7 linked regions of the Canis lupus familiaris genome follow. The protein of the gene in region 1 binds, or shares a complex with, the protein of each later gene. Links are inferred from orthologs where the notes say so. Each region holds a gene or a part of one and is shown in the gene's direction. Other genes may lie near its edges. The genes, in order: POLR1H, POLR1B, TAF1C, UBTF, POLR1F, POLR1E and TAF1A.

Region 1 (4,380 bases):
TAAAAAACAAACATAAACTAGATTAAAGAGCCTGGGACAGACAGTGTAAGTCCTCAATAATTGGCAATGGTCTCTCCTCCACAGATCAAGCCCAAGTCTCTGTAAAGTCTTTCCGGACTATTCTACGTAACAGTGATTTTCCCTTCTTCTGAACACAACGTTTTTTAAACATTATTCCTAAGTCACTTGAAAACCAGCCAGGGTTTCCATGGTGATACCTGTATCATTTGTAACACTTTCATGCTGAAATTTAGACTGTAAACGGGAGGTAATCTATAATTTAGATTGACAAATACGATGTGTCTCTGTTACTGGAATGAGCCTGGTATCAGTTATTGGATCTCACTGACTTCCTGCCTATGTTCCTATCTGTCCGTGGACACCTATTCTGATATTTAACAAAGGTAACCGTCCTATTACTTTTCAGAACACAACCCAGCACGGTTTGTGTTCAGCAACAGTTTCTGGAACTCATCTTCTGGTTCCCTTGTCGCTGGTATTCGAGCACCTTTCTCCTTTGCTCCTGAGGTGCCATGTCCACGTTTTTACTGAAACATCAGCGAGTCCTCCTGGAGGTGCAGACACCATAGTCCTAGGCCCTGTGTGGGTCTCTCGTGGCGGGTTCCACCGTGTCCTTCGTACCCCTTGAGGTCACAGCATCCTTTCCAACGGTGCCGCCCCAGCTCCACAGACACTTGGAAAGGCCCGGGCCTCACGACACCGGCCCATCGGGATCGCGCTGGACTCTGCGTGGAGCAGCACTGCACGGTCACGGAGTCGGGAGCAGAGTCAAAGAGGTTAACAGGCTAATTTTAACGTTCGCGGTCTAAACGGCAGACCGCCCCCTTCGAGCCGGACAGAACGACGTCCTGCGGGGACAGGCGGACGGGAGCCACGGGGGCAGCGGCTCAGAAACTCCTCGTGCCCCGCAGACGGTGGTTACTGGCGAGCGGCCGCAGCTCGGCTCCCTAGCGACCGTGAGCCTTACGCTCGGGAACGGCAACCGTGCTCGTCACTCCCCGGTGACCCGCTGGGCGCGGCGGAGGGGGACGGCCCCCAAGTCAGCCCCGGGCCTGGGCCGCCCGCCCCGCCCCGCCCCGCCCCCGGCCCTCGCCCTCATCTCCCTGGCCCGCCCGCTCCTAGAGCATGTCCTGGGCACGTCAGGCCGGCGGGGCGGAGCTGGGCCCACTGGCTCCGGGGCGGCGCGGCGGCGTTCGGGAAGCTCAGCAACATCTCCACAAGCAACGCTCCCGAGGTTGGGTCCCAGAAAATACGTATCCCCGGACTGCGCTTCTTCCTGATGGAGTGTCCGGAGGCGCAGCGGCCATTACCCGAGCTCCTATCCCGGCGTCGGCACCTCCGTCCGTCTCCCACGGCGCTCGACCCCCGCTCTGGGGCTCTCGGGGCGCCGGGCGCCGGATTGTGACGTCACGGCCAAAGGCGCCAGCGCCGCGCACAGCAGTCGGGGCGACGTATTGTGACGTCACAACCCCACAGAAGCCGGCGAGGCGGACAGCAGTCTGGGCGCCGGATTGTGATGTTACACCCAAGGGCGCCGGCGCGGCGGACTGCGGTCTGGGCGAGGGATTGTGACGTCACGACCAATGGGCGTCTGCGCGGCGGATGCTCTAGCCCGCTCCGCTCGGCGGGTGCTCTCACCTGCCCTGGAGGACCGCACTACGCCGGCCGGTCCTCCCGCGGAGCCTCGCGCGTCCAGGGAGGAGGGCTCGGTTCGCGGCCGCCGGGGTCCCTGGACGGAACCGGAGCTGCCCACCGTCGCACCCTCTGCGCCATGGACCCCGCGCCCTCCGGCTCCAGATTCCAGTCGGACCTGGACTTCTGTCCGGACTGCGGCTCCGTCCTGCCCCTGCCCGGGGCCCAGGACGCGGTCACCTGTGTGCGCTGTGGCTTCGGCGTCCCCGTGCGGGGTGAGGAGGGGGCGGGAGCGGCCGGGTTGCGGGGGGCGGCGGAGGGTCCGGGGGTGCCCGCAGCCAGCGCTTACCGCTCCGCAGACTTCGAGGGGAAGGTGGTGAGGACCCGCATCGTGTTCAACCAGGTGGGGACGGCGGTGCCCGCGCCGGTGCAGGAGGAGCCAGAGCTCCAGGGACCCGTGGTGAGTGAGTGACCCCAGCACTGACCCACAAGGAAGGCGGGGAGACATGCAGGGTTGAGTGCTGAGTCTGGGGTAACGGGTGTGCAGGAGGAGCCCGACCTCCAGCGACCCGTGGTGAGTGAGTGATGCCAACACTGATCCACAGGGAGAGCGGGAAGGGCTGCAGGGTTGAGTGCTGAGGTCTGGGGAAACAGAGGTCTTTGGAGCAGGGGTGCTGGGGAGAGCATGCAACGAGATTCCTGTAGGAAGCAGGGGTCATCCTGGCTTTCCCTGACCCCCCCCCCCCTTTGGTTGCCAGGTTGACAGGCGCTGCTCCCGATGTGGTCACGAGGGAATGGCCTACCACACCAGACAGATGCGCTCAGCTGACGAGGGGCAGACCGTCTTCTACACCTGCACCAGCTGCAGGTGTGCCCCCTCCCTGGCCCTCTGCCCTCTCCCTCTGGCCCTTAACCACACATGTCCTGTGACTTCCCTCTTGTACCCAAGAACCGGTTATTTCCTTTGGTCCTGTCCTCTTTTCAGGTAACAGGGACATTTGTGTTTTTTTTTTATTTTTGAAAAAGAACATTTTTGTTAGTTTTTTTTATAGCCAGTGAAGCGAAGCTTTTAAGCTGTTTAAAGGAGTGAGAACAGAGAGAAGGCAGGTATTTCTGGGTGGTCTGCGTGTTGAATCCTGCTGCTTGTTCCAGTGCTCTTGCTTTTATGAGAATCACCTGTGATTTCAGGAACCAGAGAGACCTGAACCATTTGAGAACTCCTTGTCTTCGGTGTTCTGTACTTTCACCACGCTTATCAAGACCTAGCTTTCAGGATCCCTGGGTGGTTCAGTGGTTTAGCACCTGCCTTCGGCCCACAGCATGATGATCCTGGAGTCCTGGGATCGAGTCCCGCATCAGGCTCCCTTCATGGAGCCTGCTTCTCCCTCTGCCTGTGTCTGTGCCTCTCTCTCTCTCTCTCTCTCTCTGTGTCTCTCATGAGTAAATAAATTTTTTTTTTTTTTAAGATTTTGTTTTTAAATAATCTCTATCCACTGTGGGGCTTGAACTCAACCCCAAGATAACAGTCGCAGGTTGTGCAGATTCATCCAGCCCGGTCATAGGGTAGCTCTATTTTTAACTTCTTGAGGAACCTCCACACTGTTTTCCAGAGTGGCTGCACCAGTTTGCATTCCCAGCAACAGTGCAAGAAGGTTCCCCACTTCTCCACATCCTTGCCAACATTTGTTGTTTCCTGACTTATTACTTTTAACCATTTTGATCTGTGTGAGATTTTATCTCATTGTCCTTTAGGTTTTTAGTCCAGGATTTTTAGTTGTCTTGAATTTGAAGGATTGTTTCGGGGAGCTAGTCATCTACAATGTCATAAATAAAACTCCCTCCTTAATTTTTCACGTGAATGTTTGTCTTATACTGCTAAAACCTCTGTGCCTAAATATAATGAGTCCTTTCTTTCTCCATAGGTTCCAGGAGAAGGAAGACTCTTGATTTTCTTTCTGGGCACCTTATCAGTTCTCCCTCTTCCTTGAAAGGTGAGGGATATTGGGTTCTTAGATGCTTTGTCTATCCTGGTTGCAGTGCTTTGCTCCCATAGACAGAGATTATCATGTGGGCATTACCATTGTCCCTACAGTACACCTACTGTAGTTGAGTTTCTTTATCAAGGTTACGTTTTTCTATATAAGCCAGACATACCTGTTATTTATAATGTCTTGTTCCAAAAGGAATTTAAATGGATTTACAGAGAATATATTCTTTCAGTAAGTATATCAGCTACAAAAAATATAGTATAAATTAGTGTATGAGAAGGAAAAGGGAAAAAGGAAACTACCAAAGACAAAAAATGGAGGCAGGAATGAGACTAATATAAAAAGTAATTATGGGCACCTGGGTGTCTCAGTGGATGAGTATCTGCCTTCACCTCAGGGTATGATCTCCCGGGTCTTGGGATTGAGTCCTACATCCAGCTCCCTATAGGGAGCCTGCTTCTGCCTATGTCTCTGCCTCTATTTCTGTCTCTCACATAAATAAATAAATCTTTTTTTTTTTTTTAAGTAATTACAAGTATTCCATGACTAAATGTATTTGGTTCCTGAGTTTAGGGAAACAAAGCAGGAGCCCAGATGCTGGGAGATAAGCAGATAACGTAACCAGATGTGTCTGACGTGTGAGCTGGAACAAGGAGAAGTCTGATACTAAGGTTTACCAGTATATGCTGAACACATTGGACATTTTGAAAATTGTATTTTTTTATTGCTGTTGACATAA
Region 2 (3,761 bases), on another chromosome or scaffold:
CTCCACATGCCAGGATTTTGAAGGGAATGGCTGAAATGGAGGCCAGTTGGAAAAGCTGTACTGAAGGGGTGGAAGGAGGCGACACCAAGCTGATTATTTCCCTGACTTTAAATTATATATTTTTACACATATGACAATATCAAGAAATCAAACTTTAAACATCCTTCTGTCATCAAAAAAAATTTTTTTATTTATTTGAGAAACAGTGTGTGCACACAAGCAAGGAAGGGAGAGGGGCAAAAGGAGAGGGAGAGGCAGGCTTCCTGCTGGGCAAGGAGCCCAATGCGGGGCACGATCCCAGGGTCCTGGGATCAGGACCTGAGCTGAAGGCAGATCCTTAACCAACTGAACTACCCAGGTGCCCCTGAAATTTAGAGTCTTTATATTTTTTTTTAAAGATTTTATTTATTTATTCATGAGAGAGAGAGAGAGGCCGAGACACAGGCAGAGGGAAAAGCAGGCTCCACTCAGGGAGCCCAATGCGGGACTCGATCCCGGGACTGCAGGACCTCGGCCTGGGCTGAAGGCAGGCGCTAAACCGCTGAGCCACCCAGGGATCCCTGGAGTTTTTAAATTAGAATGCCAGTTATCCTAAACCAAGTATTTTAATTCTAGCCATCTTTATTGTGAAAATCCCCATTTGGCCTCAGTCTCTTAAATTAATGATTCTTTGACTTTGTAGATTGTGAATAAAGCCTCCTGGGAACGAGGCTTTGCCCATGGAAGTGTCTACAAGTCCGAGTTCATAGATCTCTCTGAAAAAATTAAACAAGGAGATGATAGTCTGGTGTTTGGTGTCAAGCCTGGGGACCCACGGATTTTGCAGAAGTTAGATGATGATGGATTGCCATTTATTGGAGCACGGCTGCAGTATGGAGATCCATATTATAGTTACCTGAACCTCAACACCGGGGAAAGCTTTGTGACGTACTATAAGTAAGTTTGGGTACCCAGTGCTGGTTATTTTTTTTTTAAGATTTTATTTATTTATTTATGAGAGACACAGAGACATAAGCAGAGGGAAAAGCAGGCTCCCTGCAGGGAGCCCGATGCAGAACTTGACCAGAGCCAAAGGCACCCAGCCTCTGAGCCACCCAGGTGTACCCACCCCCCTCCCCAGTGCTGTTTTTTAAAGGTGGTTTTCTCAGTGAAATTGCCAAGGTCAGTGAAAGTTATCTTGTAACAGGAGAGTTGTGGAAAAAATATAAGTGGTAGCTCGGTTACTCAGTCATAACTGAATTGGTATTTCTTAAATGAGACACAGTTCTGTGTCTGTCTTTTTCTATTTCTCTTGTCAGTCTGTTACACGATTTGATAAGTTATCTGTGACTTCTTTGAAAACTGAGTTATTCAAACTTGCTATCTCTCTCATGAATGTTTTTTTGGGTTTCCCTAGCTAAAAATGTCAAGTTCAGTGTGCCTCTCGTTAAAATTAAAAATGTAAAAAAAAAAAAAAAAGTGTCTAGCTTATTTTACATCTATTAAATGGTTTTAGCAGTAGGTCTTTGTTATGGTGTTTTGGTAGTCTCTTGTGACTATTCTTTCAGATGAGCAGAGTTCTGTAGCAAATCGAATCAGTAGCCCTGTTCATAAATACTTTCAGGGATATCAAATCTATTTGTACTGGAGAATAAATGAAAAAATAAATTTTGCAAATATCCTTTATGTCAGTAAAACTGAGGTGTCTTTGTAAGTTTAAAAATAATAGTTTGACCTTCTGTCTCCTTTTTTCCCCCAGGAGTAAAGAAAATTGCATTGTGGATAACATCAAAGTGTGTAGTAATGACACTGGCAATGGGAGATTCAAGTGTGTTTGCATCACGATGAGAGTCCCTCGGAACCCAACCATTGGAGATAAATTTGCTAGCCGTCATGGGCAAAAGGGCATCTTGAGCAGGTTGTGGCCAGTTGAGGACATGCCATTTACTGAGAGTGGGATGGTCCCAGACATTCTGTTCAATCCTCATGGTTTTCCCTCCCGCATGACTATTGGTATGTTAATTGAAAGTATGGCAGGGAAGTCTGCTGCTTTGCACGGTCTCTGCCATGATGCTACACCCTTCACCTTTTCAGAAGAGAACTCGGCCTTAGAATACTTTGGTGAGCTGTTAAAAGCTGCTGGCTACAACTTCTATGGCACTGAGAGGTTGTATAGTGGCATCAGTGGGATAGAACTGGAAGCAGACATTTTCATAGGTGTGGTTTATTATCAACGTTTACGCCACATGGTCTCAGACAAATTCCAAGTTAGAACCACAGGAGCCAGAGACAAAGTCACTAACCAGCCCATTGGGGGAAGAAACGTACAGGGTGGAATCCGTTTTGGGGAAATGGAGCGGGATGCTCTCTTAGCTCATGGTACATCATTTCTCCTTCACGACCGCCTCTTCAACTGTTCAGATCGATCGGTAGCCCATGTCTGTGTCAAGTGTGGTAGTTTACTCTCTCCACTGTTGGAGAAGCCACCTCCTTCTTGGTCTGCCATGCGCAACAGAAAATACAACTGTACTTTGTGTGACCGCAGTGATACTATCGACACTGTTTCTGTGCCTTATGTTTTCCGGTATTTTGTAGCTGAACTGGCAGCTATGAACATCAAAGTGAAATTGGATGTTGTTTAACTTGATGTGGCCTTTTGGGTTAGGAGAACTGTCAGATTAAAACAAAATGTGACTTTAGCTCAGTGAAGATATTACTTGGTTACTCTGGAGTTATTTTCAAGCATGTTTCCCACCAAGACTTGGCAACTAAGAATTCAAGATTTCTGAGTCTGACCAGAAGAGTAACTACTAAAGTTGATTTTCAGTACACTTGTTCAAAAATTCGATGAGTATCTTAAATGATTCTACTGGTAAGTAGAAGGATATATAGGGAAGTCTTTCCAACCCCAGGGTCTTTGAATCCTACTTTCAGTGGGCAGTGAGTGTCGAACATTTCCCTGTCTAGAACAGAGCAATCCAATACAAATACAATGCAGGCCGTTTATGTAATTTTATATTTGCTTATATCCACATTAAAATAAAAACAGAAGGTAGCTCTATCGAAGTGTAATTATTACATAAAACTGCATATAGTTAACATACAATTTGATGGGTTTGAGCATACGCATACACTTATCAAAAATGATCACCACAATCAAGGTAATAAACATCACCTCCAAAAGATTCCTTGTGCCCTTTGTGTGTGTGTGTTTGGTAAGAACACTGAATATGACCATCTACCTTCATAACAAATGTTTGGATGTACGATAGAGCATGGTTAGCTACAGGCAGCATTTACTCACCTTGTAACTTAGAACTTTACCAGCAGCAACTCCCATTCCTCTCCACCAGCTCCTGCTAGTCATCATACTAGTCGAGGAGTTTGACTATTTTAGATATCCCATATAAATGAGATCATGCAGTATTTGTGCTTCTGTGACTGGCTTATTTCACTTAGCACAGTGTCCTTCCCATGTTGTTGCATATGGTAGAATTTCACTCTTTCTTAAGGCTGAATAATAGTCCATTGTTTGTGTGTGTGTGTAGATCTTTATTCATCTCTCCCTCTTTTTAAAAAGATTTTATTTGAGAAAGATAGCAAGAGAAAGCACCAGCAGGAGGGGTTGGGGGAGAAGCAGGCTCCCAGTGAATGGCCGTCGAGGCTGCAGTTATGCAACTTCCGATGTGTGTCATGACAATGTCACTGCTTTTTAAACTTGATCACTCTTTATTTTAGTAAAATGCCCCCAGAGTCCACAAAACTCAGATTTGCAGAGGTTT
Region 3 (4,512 bases), on another chromosome or scaffold:
AAAAAAAAAAAAAGAATTCCTGCCCTCATAAAGTGCCATCTGCATTTTTTTAAAAGATTTTATTTATTATGAGATATACAAAGAGAGACAGAGACACAGGCAGAGGGAGAAGCAGGCGCCATACAGGGATCCCGACTTGGGACTCGATCCTGGGTCTCCAGGATCACGCCCTGGGCTGAAGGCGGTCCTAAACTGCTGAGCCCCCTGGGATGCCCATGCATTCTGTTTCTAAGACAGCTGAGAAGTCATGCAGCCTAACCTAGAGTTGAAATTTCAAAGTGATAAAGCATCACATTTTCTTTTTTAAAAAAATGCTGCTTTAATGCTGTACACCATAGGTACAGAAAATTGCACAGATCATTTGATGAATTTTCACACTCTGAACGCATCCATGTAACTAGCACTGACATGAACATAGTATGGTCAGTTCCCAAAAGTCCTCCTTTTGTGTCCTTCCATCACTATTTCTTACTGAACCCACTTTTCTTAGTCTAATGGGAACTCTCTTCTGTGGGAACTCTGCTTTTTGTTCAGCACACAATTCTGGCAATACTCCACAGTGTGGAAGAAAGAAAATGTGGAAGGACAACTGTCTTATCTCAAGCACCTCTCAGATAAAACTGTATAGATGGAAGCTGAGAATTTGGAAATGGATTTTTAAAAAACAATTGCCTCAAAGCATGGTGCCTGGACCAGCAAGTAGCATCAGTATCACCTGGGAACTCATTGGAAATGCCAAATTCTTGAGTCACATCCCAGACCTCCTGAACTGGAAACTCTGGGAGTGAGGCCCAGCAAACTGGTGTAACAAGCCCTCCAGATTCTGTTGTACGCTCAACTTTGAGAGGTATTGGGTTAAGATAATGGTAAGATTTATGATTGCACAGTGGTTCTTAAAGTGTGCGCCCCAGGAGGCACAATCAGTATCACCTGGGAATTTAGATCAAATTATCAGGTCCCACCGCACCTAAAACCTATGTTACACCCTGTTCAGGTGATGCGATGCAAGCTAGAATTTGAGAAGCAATGCCTAGAGCTGTACTTGCTTGACCACTGGGAGGGCCTCATGCACTCTACGGATGCTGGTAACCCTAGTTGTAAAGACTGGTTCATAGGGTATGAGGACAATTAACTGGATTTCTACTCACTAATACAGTGTCTGGCTCATATTGGTGCTCAGTGCGTGTTTGTGGAATAAATTCAGTTAATACTTTTGTTACAAGGGATGCTTGGGTGGCTCCGTGGTTGAGCGTCTGCCTTGGGCTCAGGTCCTCGTCCTGGGGGGTCCTGGGATGGAGTCCCGCATCGGCCTCCCCGCAGGGAGCCTGCTTCCCCCTCTGCCTATGTCTCTGCCTCTCTGTGTGTGTCTCTCATGAGAAAATAGATTAAAAAAAATTTTTTTTAAGCGCTCAATAAGAAGCCTGTGATCTAGGAAGTTAGACAGAGATGGGATTCGAACCCGCGTCAAACTGGCCTTCACTATGGGCCCTTGAGACTGTATACTTCACCGACCAGGGCGCCGCCTCCACGCCCATTCCCCCTCCACCCGGGCGGTGGCGCTCTAGGGAGCCCGAGGAGGCCGGGCTGGGAGGCGGGACTTCCTGCCTTGGAGGGAGCACTTCCGGCACGGCCCGGAAGACCGTTAATTGCGGCGGAGGCGCCGTCCCATCGCGGGCTCCTTCGCGGCTCGCGGGCGCGGCGAGGTGCAGGTCCCCGAGGAGCGCAGCGGGCCCGGGCCACGTAAGAGCGCGCGCCGCCGGGACGGCGGGGGGGTCTCCGGGCTGGGCCTGCGCGCGCGTCCGCGGCCCCCACGCTGTGCGACTGGGTGGTCGGCTCCCCTCCCCCGGGGCGGGGCCGCGCAGGGGCGGAGCGTGGCCGCAGCGGTCGGCGCGGAGGCCAAGCCCGGAGACCCCCCCCCCACCCCGCCCCGCCGCCGTCCGTGGTCCCGGGTCCCGGGTCCCGGGTCCCGGGGGCGCTCGCTGCTGCGCCTGTTCCCTCGCTGTCTGCGGGCCGCGGGAGCACAGAGCGAGGCCCCGCGGCGGCCCCGGAGCAGGTCCCAGCACGAGGGTGTCGGCCTCGCCGGCCCTGGCACACGTGGCAGCGCGGGCCCTGGGCGAGGGTGCGGGTGCTGGGCCGAGGCTTGCTGCCCGCCGAGCGGGGGGAGGGCGCTGGCTTCCTCGAGGCGGGGAGCGCAGCCGGGGGGCGGGAGGGACGCGGCCTCCGCCGCGAGGGTGGCGCTCGGCCCTGCCCACCGGCCGGCGTCTTGCCCGAGGCTCCTCCGAGCGCTCCCCTGATGCGTGCTGCCGCCCTCTGCTGCTCTGCCGGAGCACGGCGCGTGAGGGCGGGAGCGCGGCACCACCAACTCCGAAAGCCGTCGGCTGCGACCGTGCCCCGGGAGGAGAGCCCCGAGTCTGCGAGCAGAGCGGAGGGCAGGCCCGCCCGCCAGGCCAGGCCAGGCCGAGACCGCGCGACGGGGAGGCTGCCGCGCCGGGCCGCGCGCGCTTGCTCGTCCGTTTGGGGAGGGTTCAGCAGCCCTGACGGCGTGGCGGGCGCTCTGGACCAGCGAAGAGCGCGGGGGAAGATTTTTGTGGACCGAGACGAAAGCTCGTGTCTGCTGTGGATGCGGGAGGGCAGACGGGTTCAGCACTTGGACCGGGAATGGCACGGGGGCTCACGCTTGGTGGCCCTGGGGTGCTTGCTGTCTTGGCTGAGCCTCAGTCTCCTGAACCCCAAGATGGGGCACCAGGAGAATGGACATGTAGCCCGAGCCTGGCAGGTGCCTGTGTTCAGTAAAGCGAACTGTTATTCTTGTGGTTAATAAAACAAAAGGGAGGGCAGCCCGGGTGGCTCAGCGGTTTAGCGTCGCCTTCGGCCCAGGGCGTGACCCTGGAGACCCGGGACCAAGTCCCACGTCGGGCTCCCTGCGTGGGGCCTGCTTCTCCCTCTGCCTGTGTCTCTGCCTCCCTCTCTCTCTCTCTCTCTCTCTGTCTTTCATGAATAAATAAATCTTTAAAAAAAATAAAAGGGATGGTATGGCTGCTTATTTTTCTAGAGCAATTGGCGTTTGGCAAAACCCTTTGACATAAATTTATTTTTAAATTTTTTTCCCCTTTGACATAAACTTATTATTATTCAGCACAAGGTCAATTGTATTTTCTGCAAAGTACCGTACTTGACAGTGGGAAGACCTATGAATAAGATTCTGTCCTGGCTTTGGGGGAACTTGAGTTGGTCTTGGGAATGCAGCCTGGGGTGTAGGGTGCATAGTCTACAATGTGTGATTGTAGCACAGGAGAGCTAGGAAGCTGCCCCATTGCTGCCTGGCTGACTTCTTCCCCTCCCATTCTCCACCTTGTTCATTCTGTGGCCTCCTAGCTGTTTTTCACATACTTCCCTGCCCCAGGATTTTTGCACTTGCCATTCACTCTTCCAGGAACCCACCTCTCAGTCATCTGCATGGTTCTGTTCCTCATTGGGTTCAGGCTTCAAATGCTCCCTAATGAGCAAGGCTTTCCCTGGCTGCCATTGCCCATCACCATCCCGTGCCTCATGGACATTAATATAGCACTTGTTCATATCTGGTAGTAAGCTGCATATTTATTTGTTGCTTATTATCTACCTCCTGAAATGAAATATGCTCTTGTTAGGGTATTTGCCATTCTCCCAGGAACCCTGGAGGGCATGATCAGATTCTTGTCTCTACGAAGGCATGACGTGTGCTTCTTGTTTTCCAGGATGGATTTCCCTAGCTCTCTCCACCCCACACTGTTTATGACTGGTCCCCTTGGTCTGAGTAATGTCCCTGACATGTCCTTCATGTGTAGCTGGAGAGACGCACTGACCCTGCCCGAGAACTCTCAGGTGAGGACGGCACAGAGAGCCTTGGCAGGGCCCCTTCACCGGCCCTCCTCTCCAGCACTCACACCCATTATCAGGAGCCAGGGTGGGGTGACATAGGCACTATGCCAAGACATAGGTTGAGCCACTTGCATTTGCAGGGGATACCCTGCTCTCCGCAGAAAGTTTCCTGAGCACAGGAGCACCTCTCCTTCAGTCTTCCTTTCCTGCCTTTGCTCAGCAGATGCTCACTGATCAGCCCCTACAGTGTTCAGGGGGCCTTTTTAGGCCTGGGAATCCAGGGTGACTATGTCGGAGGCATCCCCTGCACTGTGGAACTTAGGGTTAGGTCCCATGAGACAAGTGACCAAAGGATAAAATCCTCACCCTGTGTGATAAGAGCTCTGCGTGAAACCCAGAGGATGCTCAAATAGCGCAATAGGCATGAAGCCGGGAGAGAAGGCAGGGTATGGGAGGGGAGGAGAGGCCTCCTGGGACAGGAAGGACAAGGTGCTTTCCCTGGAAGCCTAAACCATCTGGCTCCCACTTGGAGACAGGCTTGGGATTATGCCAGGGGTGAGGTGGGGTCCCCCGACAAGGAAGGGCTTAATGTCCAATTGGTCCCCTCTGGGAGCCCAGCTTGCCAGTGATTGCAAGTTTTGAGGCTGAGTTATC
Region 4 (3,761 bases), on another chromosome or scaffold:
GTCACACAACTAGCAACAGCAGAACAGCACTTGGGTGCTCTTCTCACCGCCATGTCCACACATATTAAGTGGGCTTCCTTCCTCCACGTTCAGCCAAGGATTTGTACCTTGTCCCTTGTGGCCTCGTGCTGTCAAGTGGACCCTCACAGAGGGCAGCAAAGCAGTGGAGGAGCCTGCAGCAGGGCCCCAAGTGAGATGGGGAGAGGAGAGAGATGGACAGCCAGGGTGCTGGACTGTGAGGTGGAGCCAGGGAGAGATGTCGGTGAGGGGCAGTGGGAGAGACAAGAACGCACATTTACTGGAAGAAGAGACAAAGCCTTATGTGGCCAGGTCTCAGGACGTGGCACCGGCTGCCACACCATACATAGCCCTCTGTCTTCCTGGTTTGTGCACTCTGGCTGCAGACTCCCGTGCCCTTGGTTCTGTATCCAAAAAGAAGCCAGCTTGGCTGGGTGAAACCAGCTGTCTACACTTGCTGTCCAGGCCAAGCAGGAGTAGGAATTAAGAGTTTTCTTTGGCCCCTCTGATGGGGATGTTGCAGAGCTGACTGTACACACAACACCCAGACTCTCATGGAGAGGGAGGGAGAGGCAGAGGGTCTGAGGACCTGGGAGAGTTAAGAAACTATGTGGTAGAGTGGACAGAGTGCTGGCCTGGGGGACACGAGACTTGGGGTTCTGCTCCTGACTACCACTGAATTGTTCTGTGTGTGACCTTTGGTAAGTTACCTCATTTCTCTGGACATGGTCTTTATCTGAGGTGCAGAGGATAAGCCCAGTCTGCTTGTGCCTTATTCTGAAAGCCGCTGTTCTGTGTGAGGAGGGCTGAGATTAGGGCAGAGTAGGCTGGGCTCTGCTCCCCATTTTCTACAAGAACCACAGGGGAAGGTGAAGCTGGTTCCTCCTGTGCCTGGTGCCTCTTGTGAAAGGCAGGGGTTGGACTCAGTTGCCATGAGCCTCTGGATGCTTCCACAGCTGACTCTTGTGAACCGGGGGAAAAAGGGAGAAAGGAGAGCTGGACGTTGAGCAGTAGTGAGGACAGGAGGTAGATGAAGGAAGGAAGAAAAGAAGAGAGGAATGGAGAGGCAGGAACAAAATGGAAGTAGGCGGGTGATGGCGGGAAGGGAGGCCAGCCCTATAGAAAGAGGTGGAGGAGAAGGAAGAGAAGCCAAGGCAGAGGAGAACCAGTCGGGTGGGGGAAGGGGAGCTCGAGGAGCCTGCCAGCCAGGAGCTTGGAGAAGGGATCAGAGGCAGGGAAGAAGGTGATGGGAAGGGGTTTGGGATGGGGAGGGCATATGAAGGATAGTCAGGGTTCCAGGGGGACCACTCAGCAGATCGGGAAGAAAATTCAAGTTGAGAGATCTATGAGAATGTCATTCACGTTGCAAGAATTCACTCTGGGTGCCTTCAACACAGTCTACCCTTGGGCCTTACTTGAAAGCAAGACTCAGCCTGCCCCCGGCCCTGTGAACCATCTTTGAGGCAACAGACCAACAGTAGCTGCCACAGACCTGAGAGGAGGGAATAATAGGGGCAAGGCCTACACCTCCTCCTAATGCATTGAGGAGAGTTTTGCGGTGTTGGGGAAAGGTGGGGAGGTAAGGTCAGGGGGAGTCCCAGCTGTGTCACTACTCACTGTGACTGGGTAATGCTGGGTCCCACTCCTGGGACTCTCCCTCTCTTGACAGGAGGGAATAGGACATAGGATGTATTCTGGGAGGCCCCTGTAGCTCCCACTGTGTGGCTCTAAGCTAGCAGTTGGGGCTACGGTTGAGCGCCCCCCCCCCCCCCCCCACAGCCCACTGGAAGGCAGGCCACCATCTCCTGCCAGCTCACGCCACCTTCTATCCACATCACCACTGGGAGGCAAAATAGCTAGCAAGGAGGACTCAGTGGCTTTTGTAGCTCAGGCTTTGGGTCGTGGATGACCCCATCCCCTCCTCCCCCAGATGAAATATATTCAGGACTTCCAGAGAGAGAAACAGGAGTTCGAGCGAAACCTGGCCCGGTTCAGGTAAGGCAGTGGAGCCCAGAGGAGGGCCACAGGGCACTGGGTGTGGCAGGTTAGGGTGATACCAACCAGAGCCTCGAGCTTGCCATCTGTGAGGCATGGAAGATGGATGGGTCATGTGTAGACCCTAGTGGGTCACACTCAAGGGCAGGGACAGGCAGGTAGCCACTGTCCCACTAGGCCCCAGTTGATAGGCCTAGGAGCCTTGGTGGGTGGGGCAGCTAGCTGGGGGTCTCCCTGGCAGGATCCCCCTGTACCCGCTGACTGTTGCTCCCCATGCCCTGGCTAGGGAGGATCACCCTGACCTAATCCAGAATGCCAAGAAGTCGGACATCCCTGAGAAGCCCAAAACCCCCCAGCAGCTGTGGTACACCCACGAGAAGAAGGTGTATCTCAAAGTGCGGCCAGATGTGAGTGTCCGGCCAGGGGGTAGGGATGGAGGGCGCACGGTGGTGGCAAGGGGGGAGCCGCGCCAGGTCGGCCGGGCACGGTGCAGGGGAGCAGGAGAGGAGGCCCCTCCCCAGGGGTGGGCTGCATGGACAGGGCCTGGGCCAGCTGGCGTGCGAGTGTGTGCGTGCGTGCGTGTGTGAGCCTGTCCCCTTGCACCTAGGCGGGATTCCCGCCTCTCTACTTTCCCCTCCTGGCCTGTGGGGGACACTCCTGTGACCTCCTGTGGCCTGAGGGGGTGGGGGCCTCTGTGCCCCCTTCCCCCTTCTCCCCTCCCCCTGCCCCTGGCTGCCTGTGTGTGTCTGACGGCTTTTGGTTTGCAGGCCACTACGAAGGAGGTGAAGGACTCCCTGGGGAAGCAGTGGTCTCAGCTCTCGGACAAAAAGAGGCTGAAATGGATTCATAAGGCCCTGGAGCAGCGGAAGGAGTACGAGGTTAGGCTTCCGCTGCGCTCCTCCCCATCCGGCTCTTCAAGAGCCTCTGCCCTCTGACTCTGTGGCCTCCGCACTCTGCGGGAGGCAGTCATTCCCTGTCCCTTCATTGAGGGAGGGGCCTTCTGGGCCCCTCACCTCTGCCCCTACCTTCCCCACCCACCCCCCCAAGAGATCTCAGGCTAGGGCAGGGCAGGGCACCACGTCTCGTGTGACATAGCAGACACACGGCCACCCCCCAGCTTTGCTCCCTGCCTCCCCTCCCCAGCGGCTCTCCCCCCTCCCCAGCCCCCGCTAACCCCACACCCCGTTGCCCTCCATCCCCCCACCTCACTCTGCAGGAGATTATGCGTGACTATATCCAGAAGCACCCCGAGCTGAACATCAGTGAGGAGGGCATCACCAAGTCCACCCTCACCAAGGCCGAACGCCAGCTCAAGGACAAGTTTGATGGGCGACCCACCAAGCCACCTCCGTGAGCACTGCCCTGGGGTGGGTGGGTGAGTGGGCACGAGGGCTTCTAGGGAGCTGGGCCATCCAAGGATCTCGGCCAGGTTCTGAAGTTGAAGCCAGGTGCCCTGGACTGCCCTGGTCACTCAAGGGGGGTTGCTCTTCCTTTCCTGCTGTTTCTGATAGGAACAGCTACTCGCTGTACTGCGCAGAGCTGATGGCCAACATGAAGGACGTGCCCAGCACTGAGCGCATGGTGCTATGCAGCCAGCAGTGGAAACTGCTCTCCCAGAAGGAGAAGGATGCCTACCACAAGAAGTGTGACCAGGTAGGTTGTGCTAAAGAGGACGTCTGGAGACCCTTGGGGCCTTGGGAGTATCTGACCCCAACTAGGGGTCAGTCAGTGGTCAAACGTGTCTCAAA
Region 5 (3,754 bases), on another chromosome or scaffold:
ATTAGTTTTTCCTGTTGTACATTCTAAAACCCAGGGAATGTAAGTACAACTTAATGACCTGTGTCCTGTGTTCCCTTTACTGTATCCTGTAGAATAATTGGGTACTGCTCTCAGAATTCTCTATTTTACCTATTCACCCCTCACCTTCCTTCCATCCTCCTGAATCCTGGCAACTATTGATCTTTTTACTGTCTGGTCTCTATGGTTTACCCTCTCCAGAATGTCATATAGTTGGAATCATATTGTATGTAGCCTTTCAGCTTGCCTTCTTTCACTTAGCAGTATGCATTTAAGGTTCCTCCATGTCTTTTCATGGCTTGATAGTTATTTTTTTATTGCTGATTAGTACTCATTGTATAGATGCAGTGCAGTTTGTCCATACCACCCAGAATGTACCATTGGGAACACCAGACTCCTAATAATGACAGCCAATGAATTTTTTGTGTATAAGGAGTTGCAACACTAACATGTATACAGTTTTGTTTAAAGTTTAAAATAAATGACTTAAACGTTTCAGATGTTAATTTATATACATTATATACATTGATTTGTAGGGAAAGAAAAGAAAACTAAGGCTTTTTTTTTTTTTTTGAAACTTTCATATTTTAAGCTTAAAATCATATAGCACATACTTTTTAAAGCTTCCCAAAATGCTTTGTGATTCAGTCAAAATAGCCATGCTCAAGATCTACATTTCACATTTAGGTTATATCAAAGAGTATTTTCTGCTTGGTTTCATTATGGTTATACTCTACTCACCAGGGAATCCTGTAGTAGGAGCAAAGGAGTTGTTTTTATTGGGGGGGGGGGGGGGGGGGGGAGTGAGAAGAATAGTTGTTTATCCAGTTAGGCAATTGATATGCAATTACTTAGTAAAGTTGAACTTTTCTCAAATCTCTACAGTGTTTTAAAATGATGGTTTAGTATAATATGTAAATTTCAATCAAAAAAATTTTTTCCATGTCAAATTATACCATATTTTGATGTTTTTTTTTTTTTTTGAAGATCAACTTGAGGCTTATAAAGTTTTATTTACCTTTTAACTCTGGATTTCTTGATGTTACAGTTTTTTTTTTTCTCTTTCTTCCCAGGGTATAGTTAATAAAGTGTCATCCAGCCACATTGGCTGTTTAGTACATGGGTGTTTCAATGCCTCCATTCCTAAACCTGAGCAGATGTCTACTGAGCAGTGGCAGATCCTGGAGATAAATGTAGGTGATGAACTAGAATTTGAAGTATTTCGTTTGGACTCAGATGCTGCTGGAGTATTCTGCATTCGGGGAAAGTTGAATATCACTAGGTCAGTTCCTAATCACATTATTTTAATTTTGATATTTAGTCATTTGTTTAATTCTCAATTTAGAGAACATAAGTCCCTCTTAAAAAAAAAAAAAAAATTATTAGGGTATTCATGCTTCCAAACCATAAAGTCAGTGCAAATAGGAATCTAAAGTGTTAAGACAATGCATTGAATATTCTAAATCTCTACACATCTAGCTAACTGTTCTGTATTTTACTAAAACTCAGTCTTACTGAGTATTTTCTAGTTAATTTTTAACTAAAATTAATTTTTCTAGTTAATTGTTAGCATTTTCACAGTTGAAACACAAATTTGATTATTGTTATTATGCCAGGTAGGTAAGTTCTGTATCTTTTGATATTGAAATTATTCTAAGAATTACTCTCATCTTGAGTTTGTTTCCATGGAAGCCAAGTTTAATGGAGTGTAGGGGGAAAGAAAAAGGCTTTGGGAATACTGCTGGTGTTAATTCCTTTTTTAGATTTTACCTTGATAATTAACAAGAGTATGGGTTACAGTTTTAGAGCAGTTGTGCAGTAGAACTTTCTGCAATGATAGAAACATGTGCAGCATCTGTGATATCGAAGTTATCTTGTTGAAATTATTTATATGTAGATATTATTACTGTATAGGACTTTGCAGTTCCAGAGTTCCACTGATAACTATTTTTATTTTAGTGTTAACTCATAGCTTTGAAGGTATTATTGCTTCAAGCAAGGGTAAGGGAAAAAAATGAAACAAGGATTGTGAGAGTAGAAGGAAACTCCATTAGTTTCATAGATAATGGAAGTATATATTTTATCACTCATCAGTTTAGCTAATAAGCCTGGGTATTGTGATGTTTATTGTCACCAATTTTTTCTGAACCAAACCAAAATTTAGAAGCTACATTTTGATAAAATTTATGTCATTTTTTTATGTGTGAAAACAGTGTGGAAGAAGTACTTTGGAAAAATTTTAACCTTTCCCAGACATTTTAATGGGTGAGAGATAACAGGATAGAATATTTCAAATTTATGCCATACTTCTGTATTTTGTACTGCTGTCATTTTTTTAGAAAAAAATTGGGATAGTCTTTCTCATTTTATTTTTTGTTTATTGCTCTGTAAATTTTTTCAACTGTCAATTTAGTTTACAAACCAAGTGCTCTGCAGTTCCTGAAGAAATAACAGTAACTAGCACTGAAGAAATTATTGAAAAACCTCTCAAGAAAAAAAAGAAGAAGAAAGACCCAGAGTCCTATGAAGTGGAGAGTGATAACAGAGAGCTAGCTGATGTTACAGATGCCACAATGAAGAAAGAGACAGACCCGCAGATTGATAATATGAATGGCCTATGGAAGGATGAGCCGAAGAAGAAGAAGAAGAAGAAGCAGCAGCAGCAGCAGCAGCAGCAGCAGCAGCAGCAGCAGCAAGATCAGGACCAGGATCCTGTTTTCCAAGGCAGTGACTCCAGTGGTTACCAGAGTGACCATAAAAAGAAAAAAAAGAAAAGAAAATACAGTGAGGAAGCTGAATTTACCCCACTTTTGGAACATTCACCTAAAAAGAAAAGGGGAAAGTAATTTTCTTTAGTGTATTTTAAATATTGTTTTTTAAAAATTAAGATACAACAGATGAATAAATGTCAAAATGGTAGGAGATGTTTGTGTATTCCAGTAGTCTACAAAACAGGAAAGATTTGATTAGAAGTTTTTGGTGCTTAAATTATTAAAGTGACGATTACTATGGGAAATACCAATATTATTAAACTGCCATTTTATTGTATACAAAATAAAAAAGAGCTGCTCTCTCGAGTCTTGCATTTTTCCCATTTTTACATTCTAAATAAAATTCTATACTCTGAAGACTGGCAAAAGGACTTTGTATTATAGTGTTATTCATATCATTGAAGAATGAGTTTGAGCTTCTGTTTGTTTTTTTAAATAGGTTTGCCCTGTAGTCATATTACCTGTGATTTTTAGATTTTGTTGGCTACTACAGTGTTTCTGTGGTTCAACTTAGAAGGGTTTGCCAAAGGAGTTCCATGCCACTATTGACTGTAGTAGGAAACATTGTTCACTATTCTTTCCTTCCAAATGCATGTTCTCTTTTTTTCTCTAAGAGGTTGATAGAGAAGGCTCTTCTCTTGTACTTGTCTGCTTTTGCTGTGTTTGGAGGAGCAGAGTCTAATTAAGACATGATAAACACCATTTGTCCCTAGTGGGGGAATTTCTCAACTCTATAATAATTAGGTTAAATACTAAAAACTGTGTAAGAAAATTTCACTGAGAAAACATGGACTATGTCTTTCTTAACTACTAGAAAACACTGAGTAATGAAATGGCAAGCTGGTTCAGGCTGATTATCAATGCATGGCCATGTTCATTGATGTAAGAGTACCTATGCATTACTGTGTGTAATACCTCTAAGGAAAAGACATATAATGGCAGACTAGGAAGATGTAGTTCGTTCT
Region 6 (3,199 bases), on another chromosome or scaffold:
ACATGAACGAGCCAGTGTTCTCTTGAAAATATTTGGGCTTTCCAGCCTCTTGTCCCAAGGCTGTGGGTGGCATTCAAGGGAGAACGAGGTGGCCTCTGAGTGCTTGGAGCCCGTGGCTGAGCAGAGGGTGGTGAGGCCTTAAGGTTGGGCTTTGAACCGGAGCAGGCCTGTGTCCCCAGGGCTATGCTGATTGTGATCATCACCAGTGGGGCCCAGGCGCTAGCCCGCGAGTTGGTGCCAGTGCAAGTGATGGTTGATGCCGAGTGAGCTTTTATACGTGAAGTTAAATTTATGAGCGGTTTAGGCGATAAAGCATCCGACTCTTGATTTCGGCTCAGGTCATGATCTCAGAGTAGTGAGATCAAGCCCCAAGTTGGACTCCACACTCAGCAAGGGTTCTTCTCTTGTCTTATCTGTATCTGTCTCTCTCTCTCTGCTCTTCCATTCACGTGTGCTCTTTAAATCTTTTTTTAAAAAAGTTAAGTTTAGGGGATCCCTGGGTGGCTCAGTTGTTTAGCGCCTGCCTTCGGCCCAGGGCATGATCCTGGAGTCCTGGGATCGAGTCCCACATCGGGCTTCCTGCATGGAGCCTGCTTCTCGTTCTGCCTGTGTCTCTGCCTCTGTCTCTCTGTGTGTCTAATGAATAAATAAAATCTTTAAAAAAATTAAAAAGTTAAGTTTATATATTTAAATACTATATATTTTAAATAACTCAGATGATCTCCCCTGTACCTTTTGACCCTTAAACAGCTTCTCTTTGTTTTTTTTGTTTGTTTTAAGCAGCTTCTCTTTGATGATGACAGTGGAATTTTCTTGCTTTTGAGTTTTTTCTTTTAATAATTTCATCTTGAGAAAATAAAAAATTGAAAACCCTAGGTTGGTTCCCTGATTTTTGAAGGTGCTTTTGTTGTTCCAAAGATACATTTCCAGAAAAACTTATTACTGGTTCTTGGTTGTCGTAATGTAATCATGGCTCAGCAGCAGGTGAGGAATGAGCTCTGGGCCGAGAGTCTGGAGAACTGAGTTCCTGAGCTCTGCCTGAGGTACTGTGTGATCTTCCCTTCATTGAGGCTCAGTTTTCCTATCTGTAAAATGAGCCTGCTGCAAGATGATCTTGAAGAGCCTTTTTATTTCTGTGAGTCTGGGCCTCATGGTAGTAGAACAGTTCATAAAAGAATAACTGACATTGATGGAGCTTTTGTATGTGCCAGGTACTGTTTTAAATGCTTTAAATGAGACTTGCGTTACCTCATTTAATGCACAAAAAACCTCTAGAGGGAGGCCACTATCTTTGTCCTTAATTTTTAGGTGAAGATGTTGTACGGAGATGTACAGACACACTGAAACTTGCCCAGGCTACTAATTGGTAGAGAGGGGATTCAAACCCAGGCAATCTAACTGAAGGGCCTGTGCTCCAGACCACACATCAGGACGGGGCAGACAATGGCCTGTGTGCCAAGGTCAGGCTGCTGTCTATGAGTAAAGTCTTATTGGAACACAGCTATGGCGGTTCATTTGTTATTAATGGCTGTTTTTGCACTACACTGGCAGCTTTGAGTAGATTTAACAGAGATCCAATGGCCCACAGAGCCTAAAATATTTATTGTCTAGCCCTTTCCTGCCTTAGCACTAAACCATGCTCACTGTGTAATAAGGAGGATATTAGGATGGCTCTTCAACGGTTGAATGTGATCAGCTGTGGAGGATGCCCGCTGTTTTCATCATGAGCGTCAGTGGTTCCTGACAGGGTTGGTCTTACATATTCCTCCCTTGTCCCCCTTGTTTTAGCCACTGCTCCTTTGTCATAGAAGCATTGAAGTCTTTGCCATCAGATGAGAAGAGCCGAGACCGCCAGGCCCGATGCATATGGTTTCTGGACACGCTCATCAAATTTCGAGCACAGAAAGTGATTAAGCGGAAAAGTAAGTCCATGATAGACATTTTATTCTAGTCCTTTCCAGCCTGTTATTTGTTCAACCAGCTCTCGTGAGAGAAGAAAATGCGTGTGCTTGTCCAGATCTTTATCTCTGACTGTGTAACAGTGAGGTTCCTGTAGCTGCCAACACGGGTTGGAGGATTGGCCCAGCTCTTTACTCCTCTGAAAATGGGGACGGGCTTGGTGGTCCGATTGTTCAGAGCTAATATTCACTACTTCTCTTCTGCATTGGGCGAAGTATAGACTTCAGTCAAATCGAATGAAAATTTCAAGGGATGGTTGGACCAAACATCAGTCCCATGGGGAGAAAAATCGGCTTGGCTCACATGAAGGCTTGTGGCAGGTTTTTGTTGTGTCAGCTTATTCTTTCTGTGAAAGAAGAGAGTCCATTCCCCCTGGTAACCTGTGTCCTCTATAGTGAGGGCCACAGGTGAGAGCCTCCCACTCCTGTCTACCTGGAGCTAGAAACCCGCCTGTGGTTTTAGGCACAAGCTGGTGCCATCTTGTTGTTGCTAGAGCTCCCAAGAGTCTGTATGTTTTCAGTATTTACTTGGTTTATTTTCGCATTTCAGTCTCCTTTCCTTTCCCTCTCCCTGGGCTTTCACCACAAGCTGTATTGTATCTTATGAATCCTGTGTCTTTAGGCCTTAGTGGAGTCTGTTTTTCCTCCTGGTTACCACCCCATCACAAACATCTCTTGGGTGCATGGGGTCTGCAAGCCGGAGCACAGCTGAGCTCGTTTTCACTGGGAAGTGGCTGTTCTGTGTCGTGGGCCCCTGCTCCTCTTACCACATGGTTCTCTTCATCGCAGTGGCTCAGCTGTTGGCCTCTTTTCCCAGCTCAGGGGGGAGGTGTGTTCCCAGGGTTTGGAAACAAAACGATCCATCTCACCTTTGTGTCGCAGGTGCCCTGGGACCCGGAATCCCCCATGTCATCAACACCAAATTGCTGAAGCACTTCACCTGCTTGACCTACAACAACGGCAGGTCAGGGATCGACTTCGGGGTGTCGGCCTATAAAGGAGAAAGCAGGCGGGGGCAGGTGGCGAGGGTGGGACGAGAGCATGAACTGGCTTCCATGTCCACAGACACTGCTGACGGGGGCACTCACTGCCGCCTGCAGGGGCCTGGGGTCAAGTCAACTGAGGAAGCCCTATATATTATCTGCTCTGTCCCCCCTGGAGAGGTTCACTCTAGAGGTTTTAGGGAGTTCCTGCAACGGAGACTTATTTCAAGGAACCTTCCTAATATTCCATAGAATCAG
Region 7 (4,418 bases), on another chromosome or scaffold:
AACAATATTTTCTAAATAAGTTTGCAGTTTTTCAAAGATGTTATTTTTAAAGATTTTATTATTTATTTGAGAGAGAGGAAGAGAAAGCACAAAGAGGAGGATAGCAGAGGGAGAAGCAGGCTCCCAGCCCAGCAGGAAGCCTGATGTGCGGCTCAATCCCAGGATCCTGGAATCCTGACCTGAGTGGAAGGCAAATACTTAACTGAGCCACCTGGGCTGCCCTTAAAAAAATGTTATTATTATATTAAGTTGTTCTTCAGCATAACACAATTGTAAAGACATCTTTATGCTTCTTAGAATATGTTTTCTTCTAGATTGGAGTCTAGAAACCTTCTGTATGCTTCATTTTGTTTTATATTTGCATTTTTGTCATCTTTTTTTTTTTTAAATCTTGTTTACACTATTGGATGAGTTGTTTTCATTTTACTGTCTTCATCTTTTTTGTTTTTTAAAGATTTTATTTATTCATGAGAGACAGAAAGAGAAAGAGAGAGAGGCAGAGATACAGGCAGAGGGAGAAGCAGGCTCCATGCAGGGAGCCCGATGTGGGACTCGATCCGGGGACCCCGGGGTCACACCCTGGGCCGAAGGCGGTGCTAAACCGCTGAGCCACCGGGGCTGCCCTGATCGTCTCACTTTTGACGCCTCCCTGCCTCTCTCCCGTATGTTCATCAACATTCTTCAGGAAAAATGACCCCAGACGTGTCCCCAGAGCCATCTCTGCCGAGAGGGCAAAAACACATTCTTGCCCAAAATTTGGGGACATATATAAATTCAAAGTTAAAACTTTAATCAAAGAGAAAAACAAGATTTCGAGGAAGCGGTTAAGAGGTTATGCAGATTAGGGGCTGCCTGGGAGGCTCAGCGGTTCGCCCCCGCCTTGGGCCTAGGGCGTGACCCCGGGGTCCCGGGATCGAGTCCCGCGTCGGGCTCCCTGCGTGGAGCCTGCTTCTCCCTCTGCCTCTCTGTGTCTCTCATGAATAGATAAACAAAATCTTTAAAAACAAAAAAACAAAACAAAAAAAAAAGAGGTTCTGCAGGTTTATCTCGGTCAGGACCCCGTCCCTTTCTCCGCCCCCCCCGCCCCCGCCCCCGCCCCCGCCCCAGGCCTCCTAACCCTTAGGCCGAGCAAAACTCTAAAGGCCCCGGTTCCGTGAATCACTCGGTGCGGTGCAATTCCGCTCCTCTGACTGCTCCCCTCGTCCATCATCCCGTCGTCCCGGTCTCCAGAGGCACTTAGAGTCCCGCATTCCCCCACCGGGACCCACCCCGAGGGAGGGCAGCGGCCCGCAGCCACTTCCGGGGTCGAGCCGCCGAAGGCGACGCCTCCGCCGCGGGAGGAGGGGTTAGGGGCGGGGCCGCGTCTGCGCACCGCCTGAGAGCGCAGGTGTGCGAGGGGGCGGCTTTGCGCATGCTCGCAGCGAGGCGTCTCTAACTCCGCTTCCGGTGGCGGTTGGCTCTCGCTGGGCCCCAGTCGCTGGGCTGCGTTAGAGCCGCGGAGAAGTGTGGGCGTCGGGCAGGTGAGTGCCGCTGCGTTTGTCCGTCCGTCCTCGCCGCCGTGCAGAGTAGCACCCGAAGGGCTGCGCTAGGATTCACCCTTGTTCTGCTGATGTTTTTTTTTCTTGATGTTCTGAAACCTTTATTGCTGAGAACGAGGCGGAAGGGGTGGAGAAGCTATGATGGTTACCGTGGCAACTGCGGGGGGCACCCACTTAGTTTTTGAGAATTTGGGAAGGGAGAGTTTCTTCTGTAAGGGCTCGTTAAAATACACGTGTTTCGGGTGTTATTTCAAACCCATGCTCCTAAACCGCAGAATTTGATTTTTTTTTTAAAGATTTTATTTATTTTTTTCACGAGAGACAGAGAAAGAGGCAGAGACACAGGCAGAGGGAGAAGCAGGCTCCATGCAGGGAGCCCGATGGGGGACTCCACCTGGGACCCAGGTCACGACCTTTGCAGAAGGCAGACGCTCAACCGCTGAGCCACCCAGGTGACCCTCAGTCCTGTCTTCCTACCCCCTCCTCTACATGGACCCAAGACTATTCATGCCAAGTAGTTTGATGCCAAGTTTGATGTCCTGGAATATTGTCTTCACTTTTCTTATGTTGGCTTAACTTAATTAAGCCCCTCAGTTTTTTTTCAATATGAACGTGGAAGAAAATAATCGTAGTTTCCTCTGGATTTTTATAGGAATTAACGAGATAATTTAAAAGCTTGGTGGTATAGATAGAGACAATACATATTAACCATTACTACTGTTATTGTGGTTGTGTGGTTTTATTATTATGTATCATTTTGCTGTTTCTTCCTCTAAGCTTGAGCTGTTATTTTTATGTGTGTATTTATTAAGGTGCACTATCTTATCTATCTTTGTTCTTGTAACATAGTAAAGATTAAAAAGTTTTTTTGAATGGATCATTTTTTTTGGCTGTTGCTGGCATAATTTTACTCCTTTCTTTAAAGGAGCTACCTGGGGATCCCTGGGTGGCGCAGCGGTTTGGCGCCTGCCTTTGGCCCAGGGCGTGATCCTGGAGACGCGGGATCGAATCCCACGTCGGGCTCCCAGTGCATGGAGCCTGCTTCTCCCTCTGCCTGTGTCTCTGCCTCTCTCTCTCTCACTGTGTGCCTATCATGAATAAATAAAAATTTAAAAAAAATAAATAAATAAAGGAGCTACCTGGGGGTGCCTGGGTGACTCAGTCCGTTAAGCATCTGCCTTCAGCTCAGATCGCAGGGTCCTGGGATCCAGCCCCTAGTGAGGCTCCCTGCTCAGTTGGGGGGGGGGGTCTGCTTCTCCCTCTGCCTCTTCCCCCTGCTTGTGCACTGGCTCTCTCTCTTTCTCTCTCCCTCCCTCCCAACCCCCCCCTTGCTCTCTCTCAAATAAATGAAATTTTTTTTTTTAAAGGAGTGACCTAGTAGATAATTTTGCTGATTGAGTGTTATTTATTAGATAAAAAGATGGCATTTTTTTCTGTTTAAGAATTCTGTGAAATAAGATACACAGAAAGGAACTGATAATCTCAATTTGGAGCAGGTATGAGTGATTTCAGTGAAGAATTGGTAAGGTCCAAGACAGAGGACGAGCAAGAGGAATCATGCATGTTCTCTGGTACAGGAATGTCCTTTCCTTGGCTCCAGAAGCATATAGAGACTGTGGGTAAGTAAAATCACATACAGCCATTTTAATTGTAATGCAGAGAGATGATAAAACTCTGGATACAAAGTGAATAACCAAACTGGTTTACTCAGTTTTCAGGATGGGACTATATAAGGGTTTTTGAGGCTGTAAGAAAAAAAAAATAGATCCTTTTTTCTATTTTTCCTTTGAACTAATAGCAGTCTGTATTATGGTAGGTACACTTTTTGTTTGTTTGTTTTCTCTAGCAATACTTACTAGGAACTGAGCAGATAGGTGTAAGTCCAGAATTTACATATTTAGAAATGTTTCATAAGTTATGGATAGCCTGTTAAACCCAAAATACATTATGTCTGCAATGAGAAAATAATTTCAGGTAATATTGACATTGTAGAGATTTAAAAAAAAATAGCCATAATAGGAAAACAGAATTGCCTAGCAATTGCTTATTTTTTATTCTAGTAGATATCTTTTGGGGTTTTGAAGGGTATGCCCCCTAGAATAAAAACTTCGAAGACAGAGGCCAATCTGGATTAAAACTGAATGTTGAGTACCTTAGAATAGTACTTGGCTCAAAATAGTGCTCAAAAAATATTTGTTGACTGACACATTTCCAGGTTTTTTCAGGGGCATTAGAGATAGGTTGATGGCACTTGTTCTTTATTGTACCTCATTCTGTGTCAAAATTTCTTTTCCTAGGCAATTATTTTTGAAAGTGTATTGGCAACAAATAGGATAATCTTTTGCTCATAAAGAATGAAGTGAGAGATATTAGTAGGGTAACTAGGCTAATTTGGAAGACAGAAGGAGAATTTTCCAAGGATGTAAGGACACTAGTCTAAAGTCCAATTTCCATTCTGAGTAGTGAAAACTTGAGGGGTAGATGGGAGCTTGGCCTGAGGTCAGTCCTCCTTTATGTGAATAAATGAGTTTTTTTTTTTTTTTAATTTTTATTTATTTATGATAGTCACACAGAGAGAGGGAGGCAGAGACACAGGCAGAGGGAGAAGCAGGCTCCATGCACCGGGAGCCCAATGTGGGATTCGATCCCGGGTCTCCAGGATTGCGCCCTGGGCCAAAGGCAGGCGCTAAACCGCTGCGCCACCCAGGGATCCCAATAAATGAGGTTTTAAGGGAGAGGTGTTTTGTCATTTTCCCAGACTACCTCCCTGGTGTTGCTATTAGTCCTGGGCAGCTTGTGTGTAGATCTTGCTAAATGTAGCTTCTTATTCAGAGAGCTGGGTGGGGCATATTATTCTGCATTTCTGATAAGATCCCCAGG

The links.
Region 2: POLR1H (region 1) and POLR1B share a complex: the UniProt entries of both Homo sapiens proteins name them as parts of the pol I pre-initiation complex. The link is inferred for Canis lupus familiaris from reciprocal best matches to the Homo sapiens genes POLR1H and POLR1B.
Region 3: POLR1H (region 1) and TAF1C share a complex: the UniProt entries of both Homo sapiens proteins name them as parts of the pol I pre-initiation complex. The link is inferred for Canis lupus familiaris from reciprocal best matches to the Homo sapiens genes POLR1H and TAF1C.
Region 4: POLR1H (region 1) and UBTF share a complex: the UniProt entries of both Homo sapiens proteins name them as parts of the pol I pre-initiation complex. The link is inferred for Canis lupus familiaris from reciprocal best matches to the Homo sapiens genes POLR1H and UBTF.
Region 5: POLR1H (region 1) and POLR1F share a complex: the UniProt entries of both Homo sapiens proteins name them as parts of the RNA polymerase I (Pol I) complex. The link is inferred for Canis lupus familiaris from reciprocal best matches to the Homo sapiens genes POLR1H and POLR1F.
Region 6: POLR1H (region 1) and POLR1E share a complex: the UniProt entries of both Homo sapiens proteins name them as parts of the RNA polymerase I (Pol I) complex. The link is inferred for Canis lupus familiaris from reciprocal best matches to the Homo sapiens genes POLR1H and POLR1E.
Region 7: POLR1H (region 1) and TAF1A share a complex: the UniProt entries of both Homo sapiens proteins name them as parts of the pol I pre-initiation complex. The link is inferred for Canis lupus familiaris from reciprocal best matches to the Homo sapiens genes POLR1H and TAF1A.

Annotation. Positions count from the first base shown.
Region 1 is NC_049256.1:27,778,030-27,782,409, forward strand, and holds the start of POLR1H (DNA-directed RNA polymerase I subunit RPA12), read left to right. Parts: upstream 1-1,491; 5' UTR 1,492-1,537; coding exon 1,538-1,928; intron 1,929-2,012; coding exon 2,013-2,113; intron 2,114-2,411; coding exon 2,412-2,521; intron 2,522-3,575; coding exon 3,576-3,600; 3' UTR 3,601-3,644; intron 3,645-4,214; 3' UTR 4,215-4,380. UniProt on the Homo sapiens protein: Core component of RNA polymerase I (Pol I), a DNA-dependent RNA polymerase which synthesizes ribosomal RNA precursors using the four ribonucleoside triphosphates as substrates. Can mediate Pol I proofreading of the nascent RNA transcript.
Region 2 is NC_049238.1:36,976,570-36,980,330, forward strand, and holds part of POLR1B (DNA-directed RNA polymerase I subunit RPA2), read left to right. Parts: exon of another isoform or gene 1-242; intron 243-491; exon of another isoform or gene 492-682; coding exon 683-936; exon of another isoform or gene 937-1,738; coding exon 1,739-2,621; 3' UTR 2,622-3,761. UniProt on the Homo sapiens protein: Catalytic core component of RNA polymerase I (Pol I), a DNA-dependent RNA polymerase which synthesizes ribosomal RNA precursors using the four ribonucleoside triphosphates as substrates.
Region 3 is NC_049226.1:68,671,450-68,675,961, forward strand, and holds the start of TAF1C (TATA box-binding protein-associated factor, RNA polymerase I, subunit C), read left to right. Parts: upstream 1-1,619; 5' UTR 1,620-1,740; intron 1,741-3,734; 5' UTR 3,735-3,735; coding exon 3,736-3,861; intron 3,862-4,512. UniProt on the Homo sapiens protein: Component of the transcription factor SL1/TIF-IB complex, which is involved in the assembly of the PIC (pre-initiation complex) during RNA polymerase I-dependent transcription.
Region 4 is NC_049230.1:19,058,428-19,062,188, forward strand, and holds part of UBTF (nucleolar transcription factor 1), read left to right. Parts: intron 1-1,948; coding exon 1,949-2,013; intron 2,014-2,299; coding exon 2,300-2,420; intron 2,421-2,780; coding exon 2,781-2,891; intron 2,892-3,229; coding exon 3,230-3,363; intron 3,364-3,524; coding exon 3,525-3,666; intron 3,667-3,761. UniProt on the Homo sapiens protein: Recognizes the ribosomal RNA gene promoter and activates transcription mediated by RNA polymerase I (Pol I) through cooperative interactions with the transcription factor SL1/TIF-IB complex.
Region 5 is NC_049235.1:33,894,589-33,898,342, reverse strand, and holds the end of POLR1F (DNA-directed RNA polymerase I subunit RPA43), read left to right. Parts: intron 1-1,091; coding exon 1,092-1,300; intron 1,301-2,431; coding exon 2,432-2,864; 3' UTR 2,865-3,157; downstream 3,158-3,754. UniProt on the Homo sapiens protein: Component of RNA polymerase I (Pol I), a DNA-dependent RNA polymerase which synthesizes ribosomal RNA precursors using the four ribonucleoside triphosphates as substrates.
Region 6 is NC_049232.1:54,136,787-54,139,985, forward strand, and holds part of POLR1E (DNA-directed RNA polymerase I subunit RPA49), read left to right. Parts: intron 1-1,788; coding exon 1,789-1,922; intron 1,923-2,840; coding exon 2,841-2,922; intron 2,923-3,199. UniProt on the Homo sapiens protein: Component of RNA polymerase I (Pol I), a DNA-dependent RNA polymerase which synthesizes ribosomal RNA precursors using the four ribonucleoside triphosphates as substrates.
Region 7 is NC_049259.1:17,550,775-17,555,192, reverse strand, and holds the start of TAF1A (TATA box-binding protein-associated factor RNA polymerase I subunit A), read left to right. Parts: upstream 1-1,371; 5' UTR 1,372-1,520; exon of another isoform or gene 1,521-1,585; intron 1,586-1,687; exon of another isoform or gene 1,688-1,695; intron 1,696-1,794; exon of another isoform or gene 1,795-1,798; intron 1,799-1,859; exon of another isoform or gene 1,860-1,990; intron 1,991-2,979; 5' UTR 2,980-3,036; coding exon 3,037-3,157; intron 3,158-4,418. UniProt on the Homo sapiens protein: Component of the transcription factor SL1/TIF-IB complex, which is involved in the assembly of the PIC (pre-initiation complex) during RNA polymerase I-dependent transcription.